2 linked regions of the Caenorhabditis elegans genome follow. The protein of the gene in region 1 interacts with the protein of each later gene in a pairwise test. Each region holds a gene or a part of one and is shown on either strand. Other genes may lie near its edges.

Region 1 (6,066 bases):
AAATTGATTTTCCCGTGCTTTTCTGAACTTTCTACTGATTTTAAAAAAAAATCCCAGGAATTTGGGCAATTTTCCGTGAGAATTGTCTGAAAATCCCGTTCTAAACCGGAATTTTCAGTCGAAATCGCGTATTCAGCTCGACCAATCGGTGTAATTTGTGCAAACACCGTCACGCGCAAATGCAGACATTTTTGCACGCGGAATTCTCATTAAAATGCAATTCTCATTAATTTGTCAGCGAAAAGCAATAAAACCTCAACCACCAGATGCAGTTTTTGATTTATTCACGTCTTTTTCTTCTCGTTGCCACGATTCGGGTAACCGTTCCCGGAAACTTTGTCACGTGGGGCCACTCTATATTCTCGGAGCAATCGTAAAACTACATCAAAATTTGATAAGGAAGAGGAAAAACGAGTGGCAGCGGCAGAATGACCGATAATCAATTATGGAGAGAGAAAAACCTGCTGATGGCACATTTTTCGAATAGTTTTGCGGTTTTTGGTTTCGGAACGTGGGGCGGAAATTGCTCCCGAATGCTGAAAATGTACAGGAACTGGAAAAAAGTCAAGGATCTTAAAAATTAGGCTGCCTGTATGAATTCCACGACAGTATGCTGTGAAATGCTTGAAATTTCAAGTCAAAGGCCCAAAAAATATCAAAGTTTCAGGAAAATTGAGGAAACATCGATTTTCGATGTTTTTCCGGAAAAACTATCCAGATTTGAAGCTTTTTCTCCTAATTTTCCCGGTTTTTTTTGAGAAAAAGTCAAAAACTCGAATTTTGAAGCCAGAAGATTGTCAGGAAACGGAAATTTCTGACAAAATTGCTCAAACTCCTGAATTTTCCACCGGAAACCTTCAAAAAGTGTAGTTGGTACTTCAAAAACCAGTTCAATTGCAGCAAATTAAGAACATTATAGAGATAAGGAGTATTAATTGTTGGTGCAAATAATGAATTATAACCACCATTGCAAGATTGAATGATCACATGATATTTGGAAAACTAGAAAACTAGTATTTCGAATTTCCAACAAAAAAAAGGTGTTAAGAGCACCATTAAAAGTTTGCCATCATCTTTGGAAATGCCACAGGCTCATAAAATAGCAGTTTTGGGTGTGGCTCTTCAGAAAACACAGTTTGGAGTTTTTAGGGGCAGTTGGGAAAGGTCGGCGGGTGCTGAAAGCTCCGAAAGCCCAATCAGAGCTGCTGAATTTGGTTAAAATCTGGAAAACCAGGAATCTAACACCTTGAAGCAACCCAGTGCTGCTCAGAGCTCTTGAGGGCAGCTAAAGCCAGTTGGGAGCTTCTAGAGGCCCATAGAAGCTTATCGGACCAATAGGGAGCTGCTAGAAGCCGTGCTCGTCGGAGCTGCTAAAATCTGCTAGGAGCCACTGGGAACTCACAAAGGACTTGAGGCCTATTAGAATAGTACAGGGCTCAGTAGAAGCAAATTAAATCCTTTAGAAAGCTTGCTTGAACTCCTAGGTCAGGCTGGAAGCTTCTAGAGACATTTATGAGCTGTTGGAGGCAATTGGAAGATTTCAGCAGTCGGGCTTTTCGGAATCACTAAGAGCTCGTGAAGGCACTTTAGATCTGCTAGACGATCACAAGGCTTACTAAAAGCAAATTGAAGCCTTCAGAAAGCTTGCTGGGCGCCTAGGCCAGGCTTTGAACTCCTAGGTCAGGCTGGTAGCTTCTAGAAGTACTTGGAAGGGTCTAGGACTAGTTGGAAGCCGCTAGAAATGTCTATGATCTAACTGAAACAATTAGAAAATTTTAGCAATCAGGCTGCTCGGAGCCACTTGAAGCTTATTGGAAGCAGTTAAACGTTCCAGAAAAGGTCAGTGTCCAAAGGTCAGGCTCTTTTTCGGTATGCTAGAACCTACCGAGACCCGAAAAATCACAAAAACCTCCAACTTCTCACACAAAACCCTTCAGTGAACTACTATAATACAATCAGCTGAAAATTTGAAAATTTTGAAAATTAATCAAATGCTGATGCTCAACAGCTGTCAGACTTCATCACCTCTCCTATTACCTCCCCAAATATTACATCACTCTGACAATCATCGTCCCAAATTTTCACGTTTCTCCTTCTCCGGGTGTCTTATCTCGATCTCTCACTTCTCCAAACATCATCAAAACTTTTAATTGCCTCCCGTGTCAAAATGGGCGGAGTCAAACTTAAGGGAGGCGGAGCCTAAAAAAAGCTTATAAAATGGGGCGGAGGAGGACGGTGATTATCAAAATTTTCGGGGCTTTTTCTCGATTTTACTTCTAAAATCCCTCTTAACTTTGAATTTCGAGTAAAATTCTGAAAATTCTGAAAATTCCAGAACCTAAACAATGACGGTGCACCATCATCATCACACCCACCACGTGTCGCTTCACAAGATCAGTGAGTTTTCGGCGCTTCCTGCCAAAGATCATTCTTATCAGTGAAATTACCGAAAAAATTAGAAAATTTCGGAAATGTTTGCCAACACAACACAACTGACATGTTATCAGTTGTAGTTTCTTAGTATCACCTACGGTAGTCAAAGATCATGATAATTTTCAGAGAAGCTCTTCTCGAAGCACTCCTCGCACGGGCATAAGCTCACTCGGGATGAAGCTCGCTCGGCGCTCCACGATATTGAGCACCTGGCCAAGGAGCTCCACTTCCAGAAGGTCTTTGATCATCATGCTCATGATGGACACATCTCATTGAAAGGTTGGTCCGGAGCTTTGGAATCTCTTAATAAACAGGAATATTTCAGGATTCCTGAGCTTCATCTCCCCACACCACGGTCACCATACCCATCATGCTCACGGAGCCCATCCAGGCCACCACGAGGTCCACCACCACCATCACCATGTGAAGGCTCAGGACTCGAGCAGCTCCAGCTCCTCCTCCAGCAGCAGCTCGAGCTCCAGCTCCTCCAGCTCATCCTCATCCTCTTCCTCTTCGTCTGAATCCGAGGACGAGAAGCACCACCACAAGAAGCACGCCAAGAAGCATCTTAAGAAGCATCACAAGAAGGCCGAGTCTAGCTCTTCCAGCTCATCCAGCTCCTCGAGCTCCAGCTCAAGCTCCTCTTCCAGCTCCTCATCTGAGTCCGAAGACGAGAAGCATCACCATAAGAAGCATGCCAAGAAGCATCTGAAGAAGCATCACAAGAAGGCTGAGAGCTCTTCCAGCAGCTCATCGTCAAGCTCCTCTAGCTCCAGCTCCTCCAGCTCGTCTTCTTCGTCGTCGGAGTCCGAAGACGAGAAGCATCACCACAAGAAGCATGCCGTGAAGAAGCATCACAAGAAGGCCGAGTCTAGCTCGTCCAGCAGCTCGAGCTCGAGCTCCTCCAGCTCCTCTTCCTCATCCGAGGATGAGAAGCACCATCACAAGAAGCACGCCGCCAAGAAGCACGTGAAGCATCACAAGAAGGCCGCTTCCAGCTCCAGCTCTTCCAGCAGCTCCTCTTCCTCTTCCAGTTCTTCTTCATCGTCTTCTTCCTCGGAATCTGAAGACGAGAAGAAGAAGAAGAAGGTGCATCACAAGAAGAGCCACGGAAAGAAGCATCACAAGAAGGCCGCGAGCTCTTCTAGCTCTAGCTCTTCCTCCAGCTCCAGCTCCAGCTCCTCATCTTCCTCAGAATCTGAGGACGAGAAGAAGCACGCTCCAGCCCATCATGAGCACCACGAGCACAAGGATGGAGCTCATCACGAGCACAAGGAAGGAGAGCACCATGAGCACGCAGCTCATCACGACGAGCACGGAGTCCACCACAGACATCATGGAGAGCACCATGGGACCCACCACTCCCCAGCTCATCACGGGGAACATGGGACCCACCACGGACACCATGGAGAGCACCACCATGCTCCAGCTCATCATGGACACCACGAATCCCATGGACACGGACATCACTCCCCAGCCCACCACGGACATCATGGGGAGCACCACCATGCTCCAGCTCATCACGGACATCATGGAGAGCACCACCATGCTCCAGCACACCATGGACACCACGGGGAACATGGGACCCACCACGGACACCACGGATCCCATCACTCCCCAGCTCACCACGGACATCATGGGGAGCACCACCATGCTCCAGCACACCACGGACACCACGGGGAACATGGGACCCACCACGGACATCATGGAGAGCACCACCATGCTCCAGCACACCATGGACACCACGGGGAACATGGGACCCACCACGGACACCACGGATCCCATCACTCCCCAGCTCACCACGGACATCATGGGGAGCACCACCATGCTCCAGCTCATCACGGACACCACGGACACCACGGATCTCACGGAGTTCATCACGGACACCACGAATCCCATGGGCATGGTCACCACGCACCGGCTCACCACGGACACCATGGGGAGCATGGAGTTCATCACGGACATCATGGAGCAGGCTACGGAGCTCACCATGGACACCACGGAGCCCACCACCACCACGCCCCACACCATGAGCATCACGAACACCATGGAGATCATCACCACGGATCTCACGGAGTCCATCACGGACACCACGGAACCCACCACTCCCTAGCACATCACGGACATCACGGAGGTCATGGGACCCACCACGGAGCCCATCACTCCCCGGCTCACCACGGACACCACGGAGCCCACCACGAGCACGGAGCCCATCACGGAGCCCACCACGGACACCATGACGACAAGGAGAACCACCACCATCATGGACACCATTCGAAGCATTCAAAGAAGCAGCACACGAAGAAGTCACATAAGAAGAGCCACTAGACGGGCGGTCGATGAGCTTCTGCTCGCCACAATTGATGCGTCACTGCATTACATGTACTTTTTGGATAAATCCTGAACAGCCTTTTTTTTTTGTTTGTATCGATTTTTCTAGCGAATTTGTAATTTTTTGTACCAATTTTTCCGTGTCGAATAAATTAATTTCATTGTGTTTAGTGGAGAAAAACGAAGAAAAAAAACATGAAAAATTGCGATAGCAGCGCCCAAATCTTGTAGTTTGTAGTTTTAGCAGCGCCCAAACTCACTTTTTCTTCATTTTTCCAATTTTTTGCCGAAAAAACAGTCGAAAACTAGGTTTTTTATACGAAAAATCGCATAGCAGCGCCCAAAACTTGTAGTTTGTAGTCTTAGCAGCGCCCAAAATTGAATTAGCAGCGCCCAAAACTTGTAGTTTGTAGTTTAGCAGCGCCCAAAATTGAATTAGCAGCGCCCAAAATTGAATTAGCAGCGCCCAAAATCTTGTAGTTTGTAGTGTTAGCAGCGCCCAAAATCTTGTAGTTTGTAGTTTAGCAGCGCCCAAAATCTTGTAGTTTGTAGTCTAAGCAGCGCCCAAAACTTGTAGTTTGTAGTCTTAGCAGCGCCCAAAACTCGTAGTTTGTAGTCTAAGCAGCGCCCAAAATTGAATTAGCAGCGCCCAAAATCTTGTAGTTTGTAGTGTTAGCAGCGCCCAAAATCTTGTAGTTTGTAGTCTAAGCAGCGCCCAAAATTGAATAAGCAGCGCCTAAATCTTGTAGTTTGTAGTCTAAGCAGCGCCCAAAACTCGTAGTTTGTAGTCTAAGCAGCGCCCAAAATCATGTAGTTTGTAGTCTTAGCAGCGCCCAAAATCTTGTAGTTTGTAGTCTAAGCAGCGCCCAAAATTGAATAAGCAGCGCCTAAATCTTGTAGTTTGTAGTCTAAGCAGCGCCCAAAACTCGTAGTTTGTAGTCTTAGCAGCGCCCAAAATTGAATTAGCAGCGCCCAAAACTTGTAGTTTGTAGTCTTAGCAGCGCCCAAAATTGAATTAGCAGCGCCCAAAATCATGTAGTTTGTAGTCTTAGCAGCGCCCAAAATTGAATTAGCAGCGCCCAAAACTTGTAGTTTGTAGTCTTAGCAGCGCCCAAAATCTTGTAGTTTGTAGTCTTAGCAGCGCCCAAAATTGAATTAGCAGCGCCCAAAACTTGTAGTTTGTAGTCTTAGCAGCGCCCACAATCTTGTAGTTTGTAGTCTTAGCAGCGCCCACAATCTTGTAGTTTGTAGTCTTAGCAACGCCCAAAATTGAATTAGCAGCGCCCAAAACTTGTAGTTTGT
Region 2 (5,337 bases), on another chromosome or scaffold:
TCTTCGCAAGATATTTTCTGAAAAATTTTAATATTGCAAGTATTTATTATGAACGAATTTTGAATAAAAAACTAAAACACTCACACTCTGAGAGAATCCGTCGATTCCAGAAGTTGTAAAAGATGGAAACGTTCCTAATGTGGGAATAGGGGTTGAAGGCTCATCCACCGTTTCGCAGTGGACGCCACCAAAGCCTGATGTGCAATGACAGAAGTATTGTCCATCTGAAAAATTGTAAAACTTTAAAGAGTATCAGTATCAGCACAAAAATTAATTTACAGCTCCCTAAAAAACTCTATTCTTTTTCTTATTACCTGCATCTTGGCAAGTTCCTCCATTTTGACAGGGATTAATTGTGCATCCAGATTTTGGCTCACAGAACGGTCCATCAAACCCTTCTTCACATACACAAAACGGTTCCCCTTCTGCGTCGAGTTTACAGCTTCCACCATTCAAACATCGAATGTCACTGCATGTTGGATGTGACCGATATGAATTACTTATTTCACAATTGGACCCATTGAATCCTTCCGGACACTGGCAGGTAGTTGCGGCTAACGCGAACACACACTTTCCCCCATTCTTACAATCCGATCCATTAACCAGACAATCAACAGGCTCTCCACAATAGATGCCGGTAAAAGAGGGAAGGCAAAAGCAGGTGAAGAGATTCTGCCCGTCGTCGACGCAGTGACCCCCATTAAGACACGGCTCACGATCGCATGGACGAGCTTGCAACTCTTTACAGTCGGCACCCTGCAATTAAACGATAGATTGCGCGAGGGACCCATATCCGAACATGCCCAGATTATTCGTCAAACGTACCATAAACCCCGAAGGACACTCGCATTGCGTTGTCCTTGACGTCCCGTTTACGAGTGAACAAACATGAGCCGGGTTTTCACATATACACTCGTTAACCTGAGAAAAAACACAAGCAATTAACAGTGAGAAAATTGGTGTTACCTCTGCTTTGAGCTCGCAGAATGCACCATCAAACCCGGGAGAGCACTTGCAGGAGAGATCGGAGCCAGTCGAAATGCATTGACCATTGTTGTGACAATAATCAGAAGTGCATTGTTTCTTGTCTTGGATTTCACAGTATTTACCTAGAAGAAATTGTGAAAACATGTTTCTTCTTAGTTTTCTTTTGTTTTTATAAAATAATTTATTCGAATGTAAACTCTCAACAAATCAGCAACGTTAACAAAATTGAGAAAATAATAAGAAAGTTGAAAACTATAAGTATTGCAAAAAAACTGGGTATTTGTCCAAATATCATAATAAAACTTTTTGAACAACCTGAAGAAATGATTTTATTTCGAGCCAAAAGGGATCAACATGACAATGCTTCAGATTTGTCGAAACGTGGCAAAAACATGTATGCGATTTTTGACTCGAGATAAAAAATCCCCGAATTGTTTAGAAAATTTTTTATGACATTTGGTCATTTAGCACCTTATAAATGATTTTTGATCAAATTCACACTAGTCTTATTGAAAAAATCTAACTAAACGTTTTTCAAACTTCAGGTTTTTTTTTCACAATTATGTCTACTGGAAAACTATATTTCATCCTTCCCATCCAAATTTTCAAACCAAAACTCACCAGAAAATCCTTTTAAACATTTGCATTCATAACTTCCTTTCAAATTTTCACAATCTGCTCCATTCTGACAAAAATTTTCTTTGCACTCGTCCTCGTCAGTTTCACAGTGATCTCCAACAAATCCAGGTGGGCAGGCACATTTTACATTTCCCTGAACATTCTATTGGTTTTTATCACTCTGGACTCAAGTCACTCACGTTCTCGGCAACACAAGTGCCGTTATTCTGACAAGTGTGTGTTGCGCAAGACGGCTCGTTGCTCTGGCAAATGTATGATCCGTCGGCTCCTTTTGTGCATCTATAAAAAACATACATGTTTTTGGTTTGCACAAGGTCATGTATACCTTTCGTCATCGCCACATTGCGGTGAGCACTTTTGAGCAGTGTCATCATCAGTAACTAGATTATCACAAAGTGAGCCCATCCATCCTTCGGAGCACTGGCAAGTTTCTTCGCCAAACGTTCCTTTCACGCAGTTACCGTGGAGACAGTGCAAAGAGCAGTTGTCCTGACATAGCAACCCACTGAAACCCTTCGGACATTCACACTGAAACATTCGCGTCTCATCGTTCACTGTGCAAGTTCCGCCGTTAAGACATGTGTTCCGACTGCACGCTCTGTTACATAGTGCTGAAAAGAGTTTTAGTGACAGCTTGTGGTATTCATCTGTCTTAATGATAATGATGGATTACTTTTTGCAAAAAGTCAGTTGGTAGTTTTGTCCAAGTTTTAGATTGGAACTGATCTTTGGAAAACAAAATTTAGAAATTTATTTTGTTTTTTGGTATGAAATATACGAGCTTCATTTAATTTTCAGAGAAAGAAGTCATGTGTTTTATTGAAAAGGTCTGGGCTTCTGAAATAATTGTTAACCGACAAATATGTTAATAGTTATTTGTTTACAATTTTAGTTGAAAATATATAAACGATTACAAAATCAAAGAAGAGATGGGCTGCAAAAATTGAGAGTTTTCAGATACAACAATGCTCAACACTTAAAAGCCCAAAATCAACTTTCTCAAACATATTTTGAATTTAAATTAGATTTTCAGTTTTTGAGATGTTCACTTAAACTTCGTGTTATACATTTCTATCTCTCATCTAGTCTAAACCAAAACTTTTCACACTCAGATCAATCAGTCTGTGAAACCGAATGACATCATATCTTAGTAGTAGACTTACCATTTGTAACCAGGGTACAAAATATGAGAAAATGTTGATATTTCATGAGTGGTAGATCATTGAATGCAGATCCCAAATAGGAGTAATGACGGCAGCTAGTCGAATTGTTTTGTGTTTGGAGGTAAAAAAGGTAGTTTGCCGCTTGACGATTGTTCTTCTGTACCGCACACGCTAGCTGCCGGAGTGACGCGAGAGAGAAAGAGAAGGTCCTAGAGAGCCAGGTGTATTGTCGGATAATAAGCAGGTAATTAGAACGGAAGAGGAAACACGGGCAAGAGAGATGAAGGGGGGGGGGGGGGGAATCTCGTGGTTGCCAGGGGTCAGCTAGCTGCCCTGTGGCATTTCGACGGTAATTTGGAAATAGTAGGGAAAGTTTCAGTTGACCGAGTGATTGAAGATATACAAAATTTTCAAACGTTTATAAAAAGTGAAAACATAGAAATTCAGCGTTTAGTTAAAAAAAAAGGTTTTCGAGAGTATTTGTACAATTTCGACATTTTTTTTGTGCTCGTTTCAGTTTGGCAGCTCATGCTTTTGATTTTACTTTTAATTGTCGTCTGATAAAATATTTCCTACTTTTTTTTATTATCATCTAGTTCCTAATGTACTTGTATGTGTTAATAAAATTAGCTGAAATATGGGGTTTTATCCCATAACAAGCGACAATATTGTTTTATTGTGATTTCAGGAGTTTTTTTATTTAAAAGAAATAAGAATGAACAAGCTTAATTATGCGTAAGTACAAATTCAAAATACTCAAAAAGTGCTGGGTCCACTTGAATTACAGCAAAAAACCCTCAGCAGCTAATTAGTTCCAAACAATTTCCGGCTGTCAACATCTCCAACATCTATATATTTTATGTGTAGTAGGTCGGATATTATACAGACAATTTTCAAATGATGAGACTAGTTTCACCCGGCACGCACACGGAAAAAAGAAGGGGATAGCAAAAAAGTGAAGCGAAAAGGACAGTGTGTTTGTCCTGTTATGCGGAAAAATGAGATTTGCTGGGGTTACCGATATCGAAATACGTTTTTAGAAAATATTTGGATGAAAATTCAAATAAAAATTTCCGAAATAAAAACGGCAAAAGCAAAAAAGTTTAGTAGTTCCGTTTAGACGGGACAAACTTTGCTGAGAAAATTGAGTAGAAATGAAGGCCAAGGCGGAGCACAGTTGACAAATGACCGCGCATTTGGAAATGGCAAACTGTCGGAATTTCATGGAAAAATACCAACAAGTGAATCAATTACATAATTTTAAAAAGTGAAATTCTCAAATGTTTCAAAGATAGTTGGGGAATTTCAAACTACCTCCCAATAATACTCAAGAGACGCAAAGTTTTTGAACTTACTTGTTATGCTATCAGTTATGTTTTTTGGAAATGTTGGAGGTCACAAACCTTAAAATTGATTCTGATATATATTTTTGATTAATCAAAAAATTACAGTTCATTGTGAACATTTTACGCTCAAAAATATGTTGCCAACATTTTCAAAATAGGGAATCTTCTCAAATAACTGAAAAGTTCAAATTTTCAATTCACGGTAACATGATGAAATAAATTTTTAAAAAACAACTTTTAAAAACAACTTTTTTTTCAATTTAATAAAAATTCAGTTGATAAACATTGAATAATTAAACTTAGTTTTTGTGTTGATATTTGTTGAAATGCTAAATTTTTAAAACCAAGAGATTATTTGGATTCAAATTTCAAATTACAAATTGATCTGACGATTTTTTGTCGTTCCTAAAAAAAATGCTAAAATTGTACTTACGGAAAACAACAATTTTGAAAAGCAAAAAAAAATTAGCAACGAAAAAAAATCACCCCTGTGGCTAGCTTCTCGGATCGCGTTCTACTTATGGTATTATCTGGGGACTTTGCATCAGAAAAAAAATACGGCGCAAAAATACGCTAGAGAAGATAAAAATGTATGTGTGCATGATACATCTCGTCGCCTAATTGTCTATCTCTAAACACCTTTTTTTTGAATATGCCGCAAATATGTAGTGGTCAGTCAGTCAATAAAAAACACGCATATAGACAAAACAAAACGATTGCGCGCGCGCGGGGTCGTAAGGTCATGGAAAAGAGCATGGTATTGATAACAGTGCACACATAACCCCAGGTCTTACAAAAAGAGTTTTTGGAAAGAATAGAATTGTGCAGCAAATGACAGAAAAGGACGGAGGGACACTTGATGGACTGCTGAGGAAAAAAAGGTGCGTGGACGACCGGAATATAGGGTGTATTAAGAGTGAAGGGACACATGTATTTGTTTCGAGGCATTTCCGGTTATGGCGAGAAGAAGGGATATGAACAAGATAATTGAAGACAAATAGTCCGTGATGATTTGTTGACTAACAGTGAGACAATTATTTTCGAATCAAGGTTTTGAATACTAATTATGTAGATCGAGCTAGAAAATTTATTAAAAAATTCTGACTATTTTTCCTGTACTAATAAAACTTCACTAAGTACCTTACGTTTTCAAACACAAAACCTTATAAAAATAACTTATTAATTTAGAACAGTTGTACGTA

What was found.
Region 2: the proteins of Y39B6A.1 (region 1) and crb-1 interact in a two-hybrid assay, tested with the Caenorhabditis elegans proteins (one study listed by BioGRID).

What each region holds. Positions count from the first base shown.
Region 1 is NC_003283.11:19,199,877-19,205,942, reverse strand, and holds Y39B6A.1 (Histidine-rich glycoprotein-like), read left to right. Parts: upstream 1-2,335; 5' UTR 2,336-2,345; coding exon 2,346-2,397; intron 2,398-2,559; coding exon 2,560-2,712; intron 2,713-2,758; coding exon 2,759-4,761; 3' UTR 4,762-4,930; downstream 4,931-6,066.
Region 2 is NC_003284.9:17,411,015-17,416,351, forward strand, and holds the start of crb-1 (uncharacterized protein), read right to left. Parts: upstream 3,001-5,337; 5' UTR 2,836-3,000; coding exon 2,790-2,835; exon of another isoform or gene 2,678-2,789; intron 2,238-2,677; coding exon 1,952-2,237; intron 1,906-1,951; coding exon 1,806-1,905; intron 1,760-1,805; coding exon 1,609-1,759; intron 1,110-1,608; coding exon 967-1,109; intron 922-966; coding exon 826-921; intron 757-825; coding exon 315-756; intron 225-314; coding exon 85-224; intron 18-84; coding exon 1-17.